Linked DNA regions of Macaca mulatta. Each later gene encodes a partner of the first gene's protein in a complex. Links are inferred from orthologs where the notes say so. Each region holds a gene or a part of one and is shown in the gene's direction. Other genes may lie near its edges.

Evidence for each region.
Region 2: the proteins of SCN7A (region 1) and SCN3B are in contact, whole or in part, in a cryo-EM structure (PDB 7TJ9), measured with the Homo sapiens proteins. The link is inferred for Macaca mulatta from reciprocal best matches to the Homo sapiens genes SCN7A and SCN3B. Residues at the interface, in NP_002967.2 of Homo sapiens: Arg269, Glu293, Tyr296, Leu298, Glu299, Leu305, Gln315, Cys316, Pro317, Glu318, Gly319, Tyr320, Asn922, Ile923, Thr926, Cys927, Lys929, Ile930, Phe939, Ile956, Tyr957, Asp959, Gln960, Ile966, Tyr970, Met973, Ile974, Tyr977, Ile978, Leu981; in NP_001035241.1 of Homo sapiens: Val25, Cys26, Val27, Glu28, Val29, Arg44, Ile46, Lys50, Arg51, Glu52, Glu53, Val54, Asn95, Gly96, Ser97, Asp99, Gln101, Asp102, Phe126, Phe128, Ala130, His131, Pro133, Val135, Thr154, Ser155, Ser158, Glu159, Met162, Leu165.

The regions. Positions count from the first base shown.
Region 1 is NC_133417.1:71,396,320-71,402,296, reverse strand, and holds part of SCN7A (sodium channel protein type 7 subunit alpha), read left to right. Parts: intron 1-251; coding exon 252-490; intron 491-1,569; coding exon 1,570-1,743; intron 1,744-3,789; coding exon 3,790-4,146; intron 4,147-5,977. UniProt on the Homo sapiens protein: Sodium leak channel functioning as an osmosensor regulating sodium ion levels in various tissues and organs. While most sodium channels are voltage-gated, SCN7A is not and lets sodium flow through membrane along its concentration gradient.
Region 2 is NC_133419.1:124,252,992-124,258,968, reverse strand, and holds part of SCN3B (sodium channel subunit beta-3 precursor), read left to right. Parts: intron 1-4,388; coding exon 4,389-4,527; intron 4,528-5,977. UniProt on the Homo sapiens protein: Regulatory subunit of multiple voltage-gated sodium (Nav) channels directly mediating the depolarization of excitable membranes.

The DNA.
Region 1 (5,977 bases):
AGCTCACTGCAACCTCTGCCTCCCGGGTTCAAGCAATTCTCCTACCTCGGCCTCCTGAGTGGCTGGGATTACAGGCACCACCACACCCGGCTATTTTTTGTATTGACAAGGTTTCGCTATATTGGCCAGGCTGATCTCGAACTCCTAACCTTAGGTGATTCGCCCACCTGGGCTTCGCAAAGTGCTGGGATAACAGGCATGAGCCACTGCACCTGGCCAGAATGTTTAACTTTTGTATTCTTTCATTTCAGAACTTGAAAAATCCAAAAAGATATGCCCATTATATTGGTATAAATTTGCGACAACTTTCTTGATATGGAATTGTTCTCCCTGTTGGTCAAAATTGAAAGAATTTGTCCATAGGATTGTAATGGCACCATTTACTGATCTTTTCCTTATCATATGCATAATTTTAAACATATGTTTTCTGGCCTTGGAGCATTATCCAATGAGTAAATCAACTAACAATCTTCTCAACATTGGAAACCTGGTAAGACTCTCATTGTACATTATTTTCACTTGTAGTTTCTTATCATTGAACTTTTCTTTGTTCATCATTATTCCCATTATTTTATTCTGTAACTCCAATGTGTGGCAATATGCATAATTATTGAATGAAGCCTCGTGTTTGTGCTTTATCTCTCCAACCCCTGCTTTGTAAAGGTTCTTATCATTGAATAGTTTTACAGCTGGAATTTAAAATTCCCCAGTTTAAATTTGGGATTCATAGCCAGCTGCTTGGCAGTTACATTACATGGAAATTCTTTATTGCCCCTCCCTTCCCAAATATACAGTCTCTTGGTACCATTAGCTCATAGACCAGAGTAGGGCAGAGGTGAAATAATAAGCACCTGACTCCTGAATTCTTAATTCTGATTAAAGCAGCAGTTGGCCCTGTCTGTTCTAACCATGTATCTTTGCCCAGGATTGGAACTTATCATTTTAGCCTGGTATTTTTGAGATTCACCTGTCCTTTTTCACATACAATTCAAAAGACAAAGCAAATTCCTGTGAGTTTAAAAATAGTTCACATTCAAGCAAATGTATATTGTTTAAATGTATTTTCTTTCCCTGTTGTTGTTGTTTAGTTGCTTGGTACTAATAAAAGCAGCCAAACTGCAACAAGTTTCAAATTATACATTTATTTGGTACCAAAACAGCAATTTAGTGATTTCTGCCAGTACAGTTTTTAAAGGACAGCTTCCATAGGTTCGTGCTGTTTTTTCAGAGGTTGAAAAATTAAATATCATACCATGTGCTCCGTACCTCAAAAATAATCATTCAAACTTGAAAGGTCTTCACCCTGAAATATTCGTTTGTTTTCTTCTAGGATGAATTTTATTAAAATAATAAAAGATTCTGTATATAATGTTTGACATTAGATTGTTGAATAAAATGTATGAGTCTGTCCTTATAATGCAGACTCCACAACTAACCAGATCTTGACAGAGAAGCTGTGAAGAATGTGACAGTGACAAGTAAACAGTGTGTGTTACAGAGTTTTTGTGTGAAGATTCTGATACAGCTCTTGGAATCATATTCTCACCTGTGTGTTTGGTTTTCATTTAGGTTTTCATTGGAATTTTCACAGCAGAAATGATTTTTAAAATAATTGCAATGCATCCATATGGGTATTTCCAAGTAGGTTGGAACATTTTTGATAGTGTAATAGTGTTCCATGGTTTAACAGAACTTTGTCTAGCAAATGTTGAAGGAATGGCTCTTCTTCGATTATTCAGGATGGTAAGTAGAATCCAATACCTAACTTTTATTTGATCGAAGTTTATCTCAGTTTCTGCAGACATAAAATGGGGCTACAGTAATATCTATCCCATTGGGACATTGGAAGTGTTAAATGAATTGATTAATATATAAAGAGTTTATTGCCAAGGAAAGAGTAAGCAGTCTCCAATGCTGTTATTTGACCACAACGTTAAAGGAAATAATGCCATATATGCAGGAAATTTGAGATACAGTTTTAGAAAGCAGGGTCAGGGTAACTGAGTACATTTTGGAAAGCAAGAAAATTAGGAGTCTCCAAAGTAGAATTCTAATATGACACCAAGAAGCCGAAATAAAGGTGAGTATTTCTAAATGTCAGGTACAAAGGAAGACCAGTCAGGCCAGCAGAATGTTACCATAATAATTATTAGGTAAAAATTAGTGTATGTCTATGAGGTAGGGTAATGGTGAGACTCAGAAAATTAAACAAAGGAGTAATGTTATTAGAATAATGTTTATTGAAATAATAAGCTTTCGATAAGTTATACATGGTTGCATTCTGGTGACAGGTTGAAGGAATGTAGCAGGAATTAAGAACAATTAAGTCCGTTCGATCTTATTCTAATGGTTACTTCCTAGAGAGCAGCTCATTCAGAATCCTATCTTAAATCCTCATCCATAATATTTGCTAATGAATAAGAGAAATATATACAGGGTGTTGTCACCAAATTTATGGAAACAGCACTGGCAATTGCAGAAAATGTGCTAAAAGATAGTATCAAAATATTTTAAAGGCTGGTAATGGACTGAATTTAAGATGATTAATTTTTTTCATAGACAAATGTAAGATCTCACTCTTGAGTCCAGAAAGACAACTGAACACTAGAAAAAGTCAAGAAATGAGGCAAGGAATTTGAAATCAGCCTGGGCAACATAGTGAGACTCCACTTCTAAAAAATAAAAAAAGTCACAGTGGTGGTTCATGCCTGTAGTCTCAGCTACTCAGGAGGCTAAGGTGGGAGGATCACTTGGGCCCAGGAGTTGGAGGCTGCAGTGAGCCATGATTGTGCTTCTGCACTCCAGTCTGGGTGACAGAGAGAGACTCTGTCAAACAAACAAAAATTGAGAAGAAAGTGTCAGGAAGGTATAGCCTGTATAAAAATGATGTATGAGATCTAGTTGACTGTAAGTTTACTGCGATATAGTGACCAAAAATATTAAGGTAATCTTGTTCTGTATAAACAGAAATTTTTAAAAATCTAGTGAAAGGAAGGGGACTATCCAAACTAAACCTAGAATGTTGTGTTTGGTCTTTGACATGTTATTTTATTTTATTTTATTTTATTTTTTTTTGAGACGGAGTCTCGCTCTGTCGCCCAGGCTGGAGTGCAGTGGCCGGATCTCAGCTCACTGCAAGCTCCGCCTCCCGGGTTCCCGCCATTCTCCTGCCTCAGCCTCCCGAGTAGCTCGGACCACAGGCGCCGCCACCTCGCCCGGCTAATTTTTTGTGTTTTTAGTAGAGACGGGGTTTCGCCGTGTTAGCCAGGATGGTCTCGATCTCCTGACCTTGTGATCCGCCCGTCTCGGCCTCCTGGGATTACAGGCTTGAGCCACCGCGCCCGGCCTGACATGTTATTTTAAAAGGGAAATACATGATAGTACCTTCATCAGAATCCAGTGGATCCTGGAAGACTTTCAATATCATTTTCATGTCAACATATGGGAAAAATGTGGAAAAATATTCAATATGTTGTGAAAAGCAAAAACAAAGAATGAATACTTCCCCTAATAGTTATGAAAATATAAAGCTAGAGGAATTGTAACAGTATAATGCTTAATGGGAATTGACAAATACATCAGTAGAAGAGGATATATTTAGACTGAGTATACAAAATTATCAAATATTTAAGATGTATTAAGAATTTTACATAAAATGAATGTTCAGTAGTTAATATTAATAATGCTTAAAACTCTAAACGCTATATATGTATATGTGTATAACGCTGATACACTGACCAGGTTTTTCATCCTTTGTTTCTTGTTCTTGATTTTACATTGCTCTATTAGTTGAGAATTTTCAAGTTGGGGAAGTATTGGCCAACATTCCAGATTTTGATGCGGTCTCTTAGTAATGCATGGGTGACCCTGAGAGACTTGGTCCTGTTGTTGTTCATATTCATGTTCTTTTCTGCTGCATTCGGCATGAGGCTGTTTGGTCAGAATTATGAAGAATTTGTTTGCCACATAGACCAAAACTGTCAACTCCCACGCTGGCACATGCATGACTTTTTCCACTCCTACCTGAACGTGTTCCGAATTCTCTGTGGAGAGTGGGTAGAGACCTTGTGGGACTGTATGGAGGTTGCAGGCCAATCCTGGTGTATTCCTTTTTACCTGATGGTCATTTTAATTGGAAATTTACTGGTGAGTAGTCAGTTCTTTTACATTTTCCTTGAAAACTGGCATAATGTAGTTTGGTATTTTCATGATGTACATTGATGGGATCTAATGGTTTGTAACTGTGGTAGTCCAATAGAGTAACCCACTAGCCAGATGTGGCCATTATCAACTGATATATGATTAGTCTCATTTGAAATGTATTGTAAATGTAAAATATGCACCAGATTTGAAGTCTTACACAAAAAGTGATGTGAACTATTTCATTAATGATTTTTATGTTGAATGCATTTTTAAATGATAATACAGTAGGTCGTCCTTATGCTCAGTTGCACTGTATGTGGTTTTAGTTGCCTGTGGTCAACCATTGTCTGAAAACATCCAGTGGAAAATTCCAGAAATATAAAACTCATAAGTTTTAAATTGCATGCCATTCTGGGTAGTGTAATGGAATCTCCTGCCATACCACTCTGTCCTGCTCTGGGCATGAAACATTCCTTTGTCTAGCATATTCATGCTGTATACGCTACCTATCGGTCCTTTAGTAGCTGTCTGGGCTGTCAGATCATGTAGTATGCATGAGGTTTGGTACCATCCTCTGCATCTGGCATCCACTGGGGGTCTTGGGATTTATCTGCCCTGGATAAAGGGGGACTACTGTATTTGTATTTAACTAAATACAAATACTGTTAGTTAAATACAAATGCAATAGTCTCCCTTTATTTATTGGTATTTAGTTAAATATATATTTAGTTAAATACAAATATGTTTGTATTTATTGTATACAAATTGTATATTGTATTTAACTAAATATATTTGTTAAATAAAATGTATTAGTAAAATTAATTTGCCTGTTTTTCTGTGTTTTCTATGTGGCCACTGCAAATTTAAAATTGCATATGTGATTGCATCATATTTCCATTGGATAGCACTAGCTTCTAACCTTGTTACTCAATGTAATATTGGCATCACCTGGAAGGTGGTTAGACATGCAGACTCCCAGACCCCAGACCTATGCAATCATAATCTACAGTGTAACACTGTTCCCAGGTGATTTGTGTGCCCATTAAATTTTAAGAAGCACTTAAATGTAACACTGCTGTCAGTCTTTTCCTGGCATTGGAATTACCTGGGGAATTAATAAAACTATGCTGATGCCTAGAATACATTCTTAGAGATTCTGATTTTATTGGTATGTGGATATGACCTAGTCATCAGGATTTTTTGAAAATCTTCAGTTGATTAAATTGTGTAGTCAAGATTGAAAACCACTGGTCTATAAAAATGTTACGTATTAACTAAGAAAGCTTTCACTTATAAGTTTCCTAATAACTGAAGTGGTTTTAGTGAATTAAATAAGTAACTTTCACTGCATCTATGGAAAAGATATGGCTTACTAAAAAATGATTCTTACGGGAATACAAGACTTGGTATTTTCTTTTTACTCATGTCATAAAGATCAAGTACATTTCCCAAAAGGCTGAAAAAAAATCTCAGGTTAGACTCAATTTTACCTTGCCTGTCCACATGGCTTGTGTTTCACCTCGAGAAGACCCTTGTCATACAATTGTCACATTAGCATTGTATTTAATTGTTAATGTACTTCTCTATGTTCTTTATTAAACTGTAAGCACCATGAGGGAAAGGACCATAACTCTCCTCTTTATTATAAAACCTAGAACAGTGCCCAACATGTAAAAGATACTTCAGTATCTTCTGCCCTTTGTAGTTATAGTAGTACACTTCTCATTCCCAGTGATATAAAACACCACTCTAACTGGTTGAAACAAGAAATGATCATATATATCAGCATACATAACTCATAACTCAAAATATCAGGTATAGATCTTGCTTCAGT
Region 2 (5,977 bases), on another chromosome or scaffold:
CAGGGAAGGGTAGGACAGCAGTTTTCCACATGAGTGAGGCCCTTAAAGAGTGCAAAAACCTGTGTATTTGGAATGATGACATCTACAAATGTCACCATTGACCCATCTTCCTCTGGTGGCCAGCTTCCTGTAAACCGCCCAAGCAGCTTGTCTTTCTGTGCCTTTCCTCAAAGCAGAAAGGCTTGGAGATGATAGAATGAGCTCTTCCTGGTCCCTTAGAGAAAGAGGTTAGCCTCCATGAGGCCTAAAGCTACTGATTCAGCTAGGCCTTCTTCTCTGGCCTATGTTGAATCCCTGACTCAGTGGGCTCAGAGAAATCTCATGAGGTTACCTCGAAGTCATCTCTCCTTCTGCATGGGAGCAATACATGCCTCTAAGCCAGGGGTTCTCAAACATTAGCAAACCTGAAAATCTCCTGCAGCGCTTTCTGGAAGCCAGCCTTTCTGCTTTTGTCGGTGGAGCCTGAGCGTTTGCATTGCGTGACACGCTGCCTGGCAGGCTGTGCTGCTTGCTGGGACCGCACTTTGAGAACCTCTCTCTAAACCAAAGTTTGACAATCTTTTCTTCTTTTGTCTTGCTTCACAGTAATCACACGTGCCACCCCTTCCCCATCTGTGGCGTCTCTTATTACATAGTTCATTCTCTGCTGGGAGAAGGGGACAGGTCAATAGCTCTCTAGCCTTGTTTAAAATCTTTGGACTCCTACAGCTAGTTCCATGTTCGTGCGTGGGAAGGCCTTTCAGCAGCCTAACTCAGGTATTTCTGTTGCAACTGGAGTCCTGCATCCTGAGCGGGGAGTTCCAGCCTTTCTCAGTCTATCTCCAGCATTATCACTGCTGGTGAGCCGGCCAAAGCGTGGGGCATGAAAGAAAAGATCAAGTTAAAGACAGGACTCTTCTTAGAAAAAAGGATCCAGGAATCCTAACCTCCAGGCCACAGGTTTTTTCATTTTTTATCATGTCGTTGTGATAAAAATAATGAAGCAAAGTTTCAGTCCTCAGAGTGAATGAACGAACGGGTCAGACGATATGACTAAAATGGAAGGTAGGTCAATTCTGAAAGCGCAGAAGGACTCTCAGGGCTCCTAAATTCAGACCCGATGAGTCACTTCCCTGCTCTGAGCCCCGCTGCTCTGGTGTGAAATGAAGGGGTGGGCCAGGGGCTCTCTAAGGTACTCCCCTTGTCTGAAGTTCCTTTAGCCCCCGTTTGTTACACGCCTTTCCTCCCGGGGTGGGGCCCTGGCGCCCTCTCCTGGTCACCGTCTGGAACTTTCGGTTGGTGCCTGCCAGACCCTAGCACAGTGTCCAACTGTCTCCACCTCTGCTCGCTCAGGCTTTTGGCTCCAGAGACCCTCGTGCATAGCTGGTGGGAAGTGTGGCAAGGCTGAGCTAGTTCGTCTGCCAGGCACCAGAGCAAGCCTCGGGTAAAAACAGAAGGAAAAACAAGTTTATTATCAGAGCCACAGAGCCTCGTGGATGGTCGGGTGTGAAGGAAGCGTGGATATCATTTATTTAATCCAGAGCCTCTGGATAAAGGGCAGACATCAGACTTGCCCACATTGGCTTCCTCCAAATGTAGACACCTCTGCAGCACCCTTGCAGGTGTGAGATCGGCAGGGGTGAGTGAGGTCATATGCGAGTTGGATGACTCCCCAGGTGATTGGAGGGCGCAGCTCTGGTGCCCCTCATTTTGTGGCTGGGAGAAGAGTTCTCTGCAAGAGCAAGGGGCTTGCTCAGGGACATGAAGCAAATTAGCACTGGAAGCAGGACGAAAATCCAGATTGTTTGCCTATCCTGCGGGCTTTCTTTCCACGGCTGCTTTTCCCGCCGCCGCCACCCCCACCACCTGCCACTTTTTCTTTTTTCTTTCCTTTTTTGCCTCTGTGACATCAGATACTCCCTGCCCTCATCTTGCTCAGAGCTACGCACCCCTCCCCCACCATGACACCTGCCCACCAACCCCACATGTCCTCCATTCCTGTGGTCCTAGAAGGTCTCCCTGGTTCTCTTTGTTCAAGTTGGGTTTATTCTGGCATAGGCTGTCACCTCCTGGCCCTAAGGCAGAAACCTGAGGCCTCTTCACCTAGAGGTAACTAAAAATACTGAGGACAGCTTCCTGTATTGCCATTTGTGGGATACTGCATTTTGAAAGAGAAAGCATGCTTTAAGCCAAACAAATCATAAATAATGCACCAGGTGGTAGCAAGCCAGTGAGACGTTTGAGCTGTACGGCATTCTCACGTGCCTCACACTGCATCTATAACCTCTGGCTCCAGCTGAAAACCTGGATGATCCTGGAGCCTTTGGACTGCTTTCTGGGCTGAAAGTTATGGCAGGCTGTGCTGTACTCTTAACAACCAAGGATTTGGGGGTGACTTAGATCCAATGGACAACTGCAGATCATAAATCTGACTTGCTGTTGAGAGCTGGCAAGGGGAAAGGCAGCTGCAACATTCCTCCCACTAGCAAGGAGTAGATATATCAGGATATCTGCCATGTAGTATGTTTTCATGTTCCTTTTTGTTGATCATGAAACAAATAAGATAATATTTATTTTCAGCCGGGCGCAGTGGCTCACGCCTGTAATCCCAGCACTTTGGGAGGCCGAGGCGGGCGGATCACAAGGTCAGGAGATCGAGACCACGGTGAAACCCCGTCTCTACTAAAAATACAAAAAATTAGCCGGGCGCGGTGGCGGGCGCCTGTAGTCCCAGCTACTCAGGAGGCTGAGGCAGGAGAATGGCGTAAACCCAGGAGGCGGAGCTTGCAGTGAGCCGAGATCGCGCCACTGCACTCCAGCCTGGGCGACAGAGCGAGACTCCGTCTCAAAAAACAAAACAAAACAAAAAATATATATATTTATTTTCACTCATTCAATAAGTACTTATTGAGCACTTTAAATATTCTAAGATTTACACAGCAGGCAGATAATCCAGAAATAAATATGTTCTCAATAAGCACACAGTCCACAGAAAAGAAAGATCAACACAATACAACTCTTATAATAGATGGATGAGAAAAGTGCATGGAGGCCGGGCGCAGTGGCTCATGCCTATAATCCCAGCACTTTGGGAGGCCAATGCGGGAGGGTCACCTGAGGTCAGGAGTTCAAGACCAGCCTGGCCAACATGGTGAAACTCCATCTCTACTAAAAGTAAAAAAATTAGCTGGGCGTGGTGGTGGGCGCCCGTAATGTCAGCTACTTGGGAGACTGAGGCAGGAGAATTGCTTGAACCTTGGAGGGGGAGATTTCAGTGAGCCGAGATCATGCCATTGCATTCCAACCTGGGTGATAAGAGAGAAGCTCCATCTAAAAAAAAAAAAAAAAGAAAGAAAGAAAAGAAAAGTACATGGAGAAGGTTGTGAATAGCTCTGCATGAGAAGTTGGGGATGGTTTCACAAAGGGTGGGACCTCATAGGAATCTAGAACTACTGGGAGACTGCAAAGCAGGAGAGGATATTAGCACAGAACTAGCCACAGGTGAGAGACACAATCCAGGAAGAGGGAAAAGGAAGAAAAGTTCACAGATTCTAACATACCACAGTGTGTAGCAGTTTTTTCTGGCCAACCAAATGGAAATGAGGTAAGAAAGCCTGGATTGTGAAGGCCCTTGCGTGTCATGTGAACAGAGTTGGGACTTCATCGTGAGGGCAGTGTGGAGCATTGAAGAGTTTTCAGCAGGGAAATGGCAGGATCCTAACTGTTTCAAATGTACAGCCCTGGGGACAATGTGGTTGATACACTAAATCCTCCAATATTGATGTTTGGTTTTGGGATGACCTGGAAGGTCTTGTTTCTAACCCAGACTTGTAGAGAACATGCGCATATCACATGGAGGCTGTCTGTGTTGGCCCTGAATGAGTTTTCCAATGCTCTCTCCCCAGGAATACCACCTTCCACCATCGGCAGCTCAAAAGTCAGAGGCAGCTGAAATAAGGCATGTTCCTTACATCTGTGTAGACTTTTAATCTCACAAGACGTTCTGAAATACATTAGATAATGTAATATTCACAACCCCCTGACTGGTGTTATTATCCTCATCCTACAAACTAAGAAACTGAGTCTCAAGTAAGGGAAAATGTTGTTTACATACCTGTAAATAGCAAAATGGAGAGCCAGCTCTAGATAGCTCACTTTGAGGCCAAGATTCCTTCCACTGCTCTGCTGCTTCTTCCAGGCATCCCACTCCCTCTTCCCTGGCTCCTGAGCAACCGACGACAGCCAGTGAGAAAGTCAATGGTGGGAGAGTCAGGATTTGGAATTCCTTTGACATCTTCTTGAGTTTTTTTACTCAGTCTTTATTTAAGCTGTATTTTAAAATATGGCTCCAATGACGGCCCTAGGTTTGCTGGTCTTGCATATTCTGAGCCTCATTCTCTTTCTTTCAGCCGGAGAGGACTTCACCTCTGTGGTCTCAGAAATCATGATGTACATCCTTCTGGTCTTCCTCACTTTGTGGCTGCTCATTGAGATGATATATTGCTACAGAAAGGTCTCAAAAGCCGAAGAGGCAGCCCAAGAAAACGCGTAAGTTCAGAGATGCCAAAGTAATAATGAAAGCTAGCACCCTCAGAATGCTTGCTCTCACAGGTGAGGTGCTAAGCAGTTTACATTCATCCTCCACCCTCTTCCTGATCGCTACTTAAGAGATAGGCACCATTATTATACCCATTTTACAGATGAGAACACTGAATTTGGGAGCAAACTCTCCCAAATTCATTTTTCTCATCTGTAAAATGTAAGGCAAACTCTTAATTCAAATATCGTCCATGCCTATGTCCTGAATGGTATTGCCTAGGTTTTCTTCTAGGGTTTTTATGGTTTTAGGTCTAACATTTAAGTCTCTAATCCATCTTGAATTAATTTTCGTATAAGGAGTAAGGAAGGGATCCAGTTTCAGCTTTCTACTTATGGCTAGCCAGTTTTCCCAGCACCATTTATTAAATAGGGAATCCTTTCCCCATTTCTTGTTTTTGTCAGGTTTGTCAAAGATCAGATGGTTGTAGAAGTGTGGTATTATTTCTGAGGACTCTGTTCTGTTCCATTGGTCTATATCTCTGTTTTGGTACCAGTACCATGCTGTTTTGGTTACTGTAGCCTTGTAGTATAGTTTGAAGTCAGGTAGCGTGATGCCTCCAGCTTTGTTCTTTTGACTTAGGATTGTCTTGGCAATGCAGGCTCTTTTTTGGTTCCATATGAACTTAAAGTAGTTTTTTCCTATTCTGTGAAGAAAGTCATTGGTAGCTTAATGGGGATGGCATTGAATGTATAAATTACTTTGGACAGTATGGCCATTTTCACGATATTGATTCTTCCTATCCATGAGCATGGAATGTTCTTCCATTTGTTTGTGTCCTCTTTTATTTCACTGAGCAGTGGTTTGTAGTTCTCCTTGAAGAGGTCCTTCACATCCCTTGTAAGTTGGATTGCTAGGTATTTTATTCTCTTTGAAGCAATCGTGAATGGGAGTTCATTCATGATTTGGCTCTGTTTGTCTGTTATTGGTGTATAAGAATGCATGTGATTTTTGCACATTGATTTTGTATCCTGAGACTTTGCTGAAGTTGCTTAAGGAGATTTTGGGCTGAGATGATGGGGTTTTCTAAATATGCAATCATGTCATCAGCAAACAGGGACAATTTGACTTCATCTTTTCCTAATTGAATACCCTTTATTTGTTTCTCTTGCCTGAGTGCCCTAGCCAGAACTTCCAATACTATGTTGAAATATCGCTTAAGAAATATTAAACATTTGCTTAATTCAAACATCACTTAAGAAACAAAGCGATGTTTGAATTCAGGCCTGCTGATTCTTGGCCAGCACACTTAACCACTAAGGCAAAGACCATCAGCTGCTACCACAATCCATTAAAGTAATATTATTATATCTGGGCATGGTGGCTGTCATGCCTGTAATCTCAGCATTTTGGGAGGCTGAGGCAGGAGGATCACCTGAAGTCAGGAGTTCAAGACTAGCC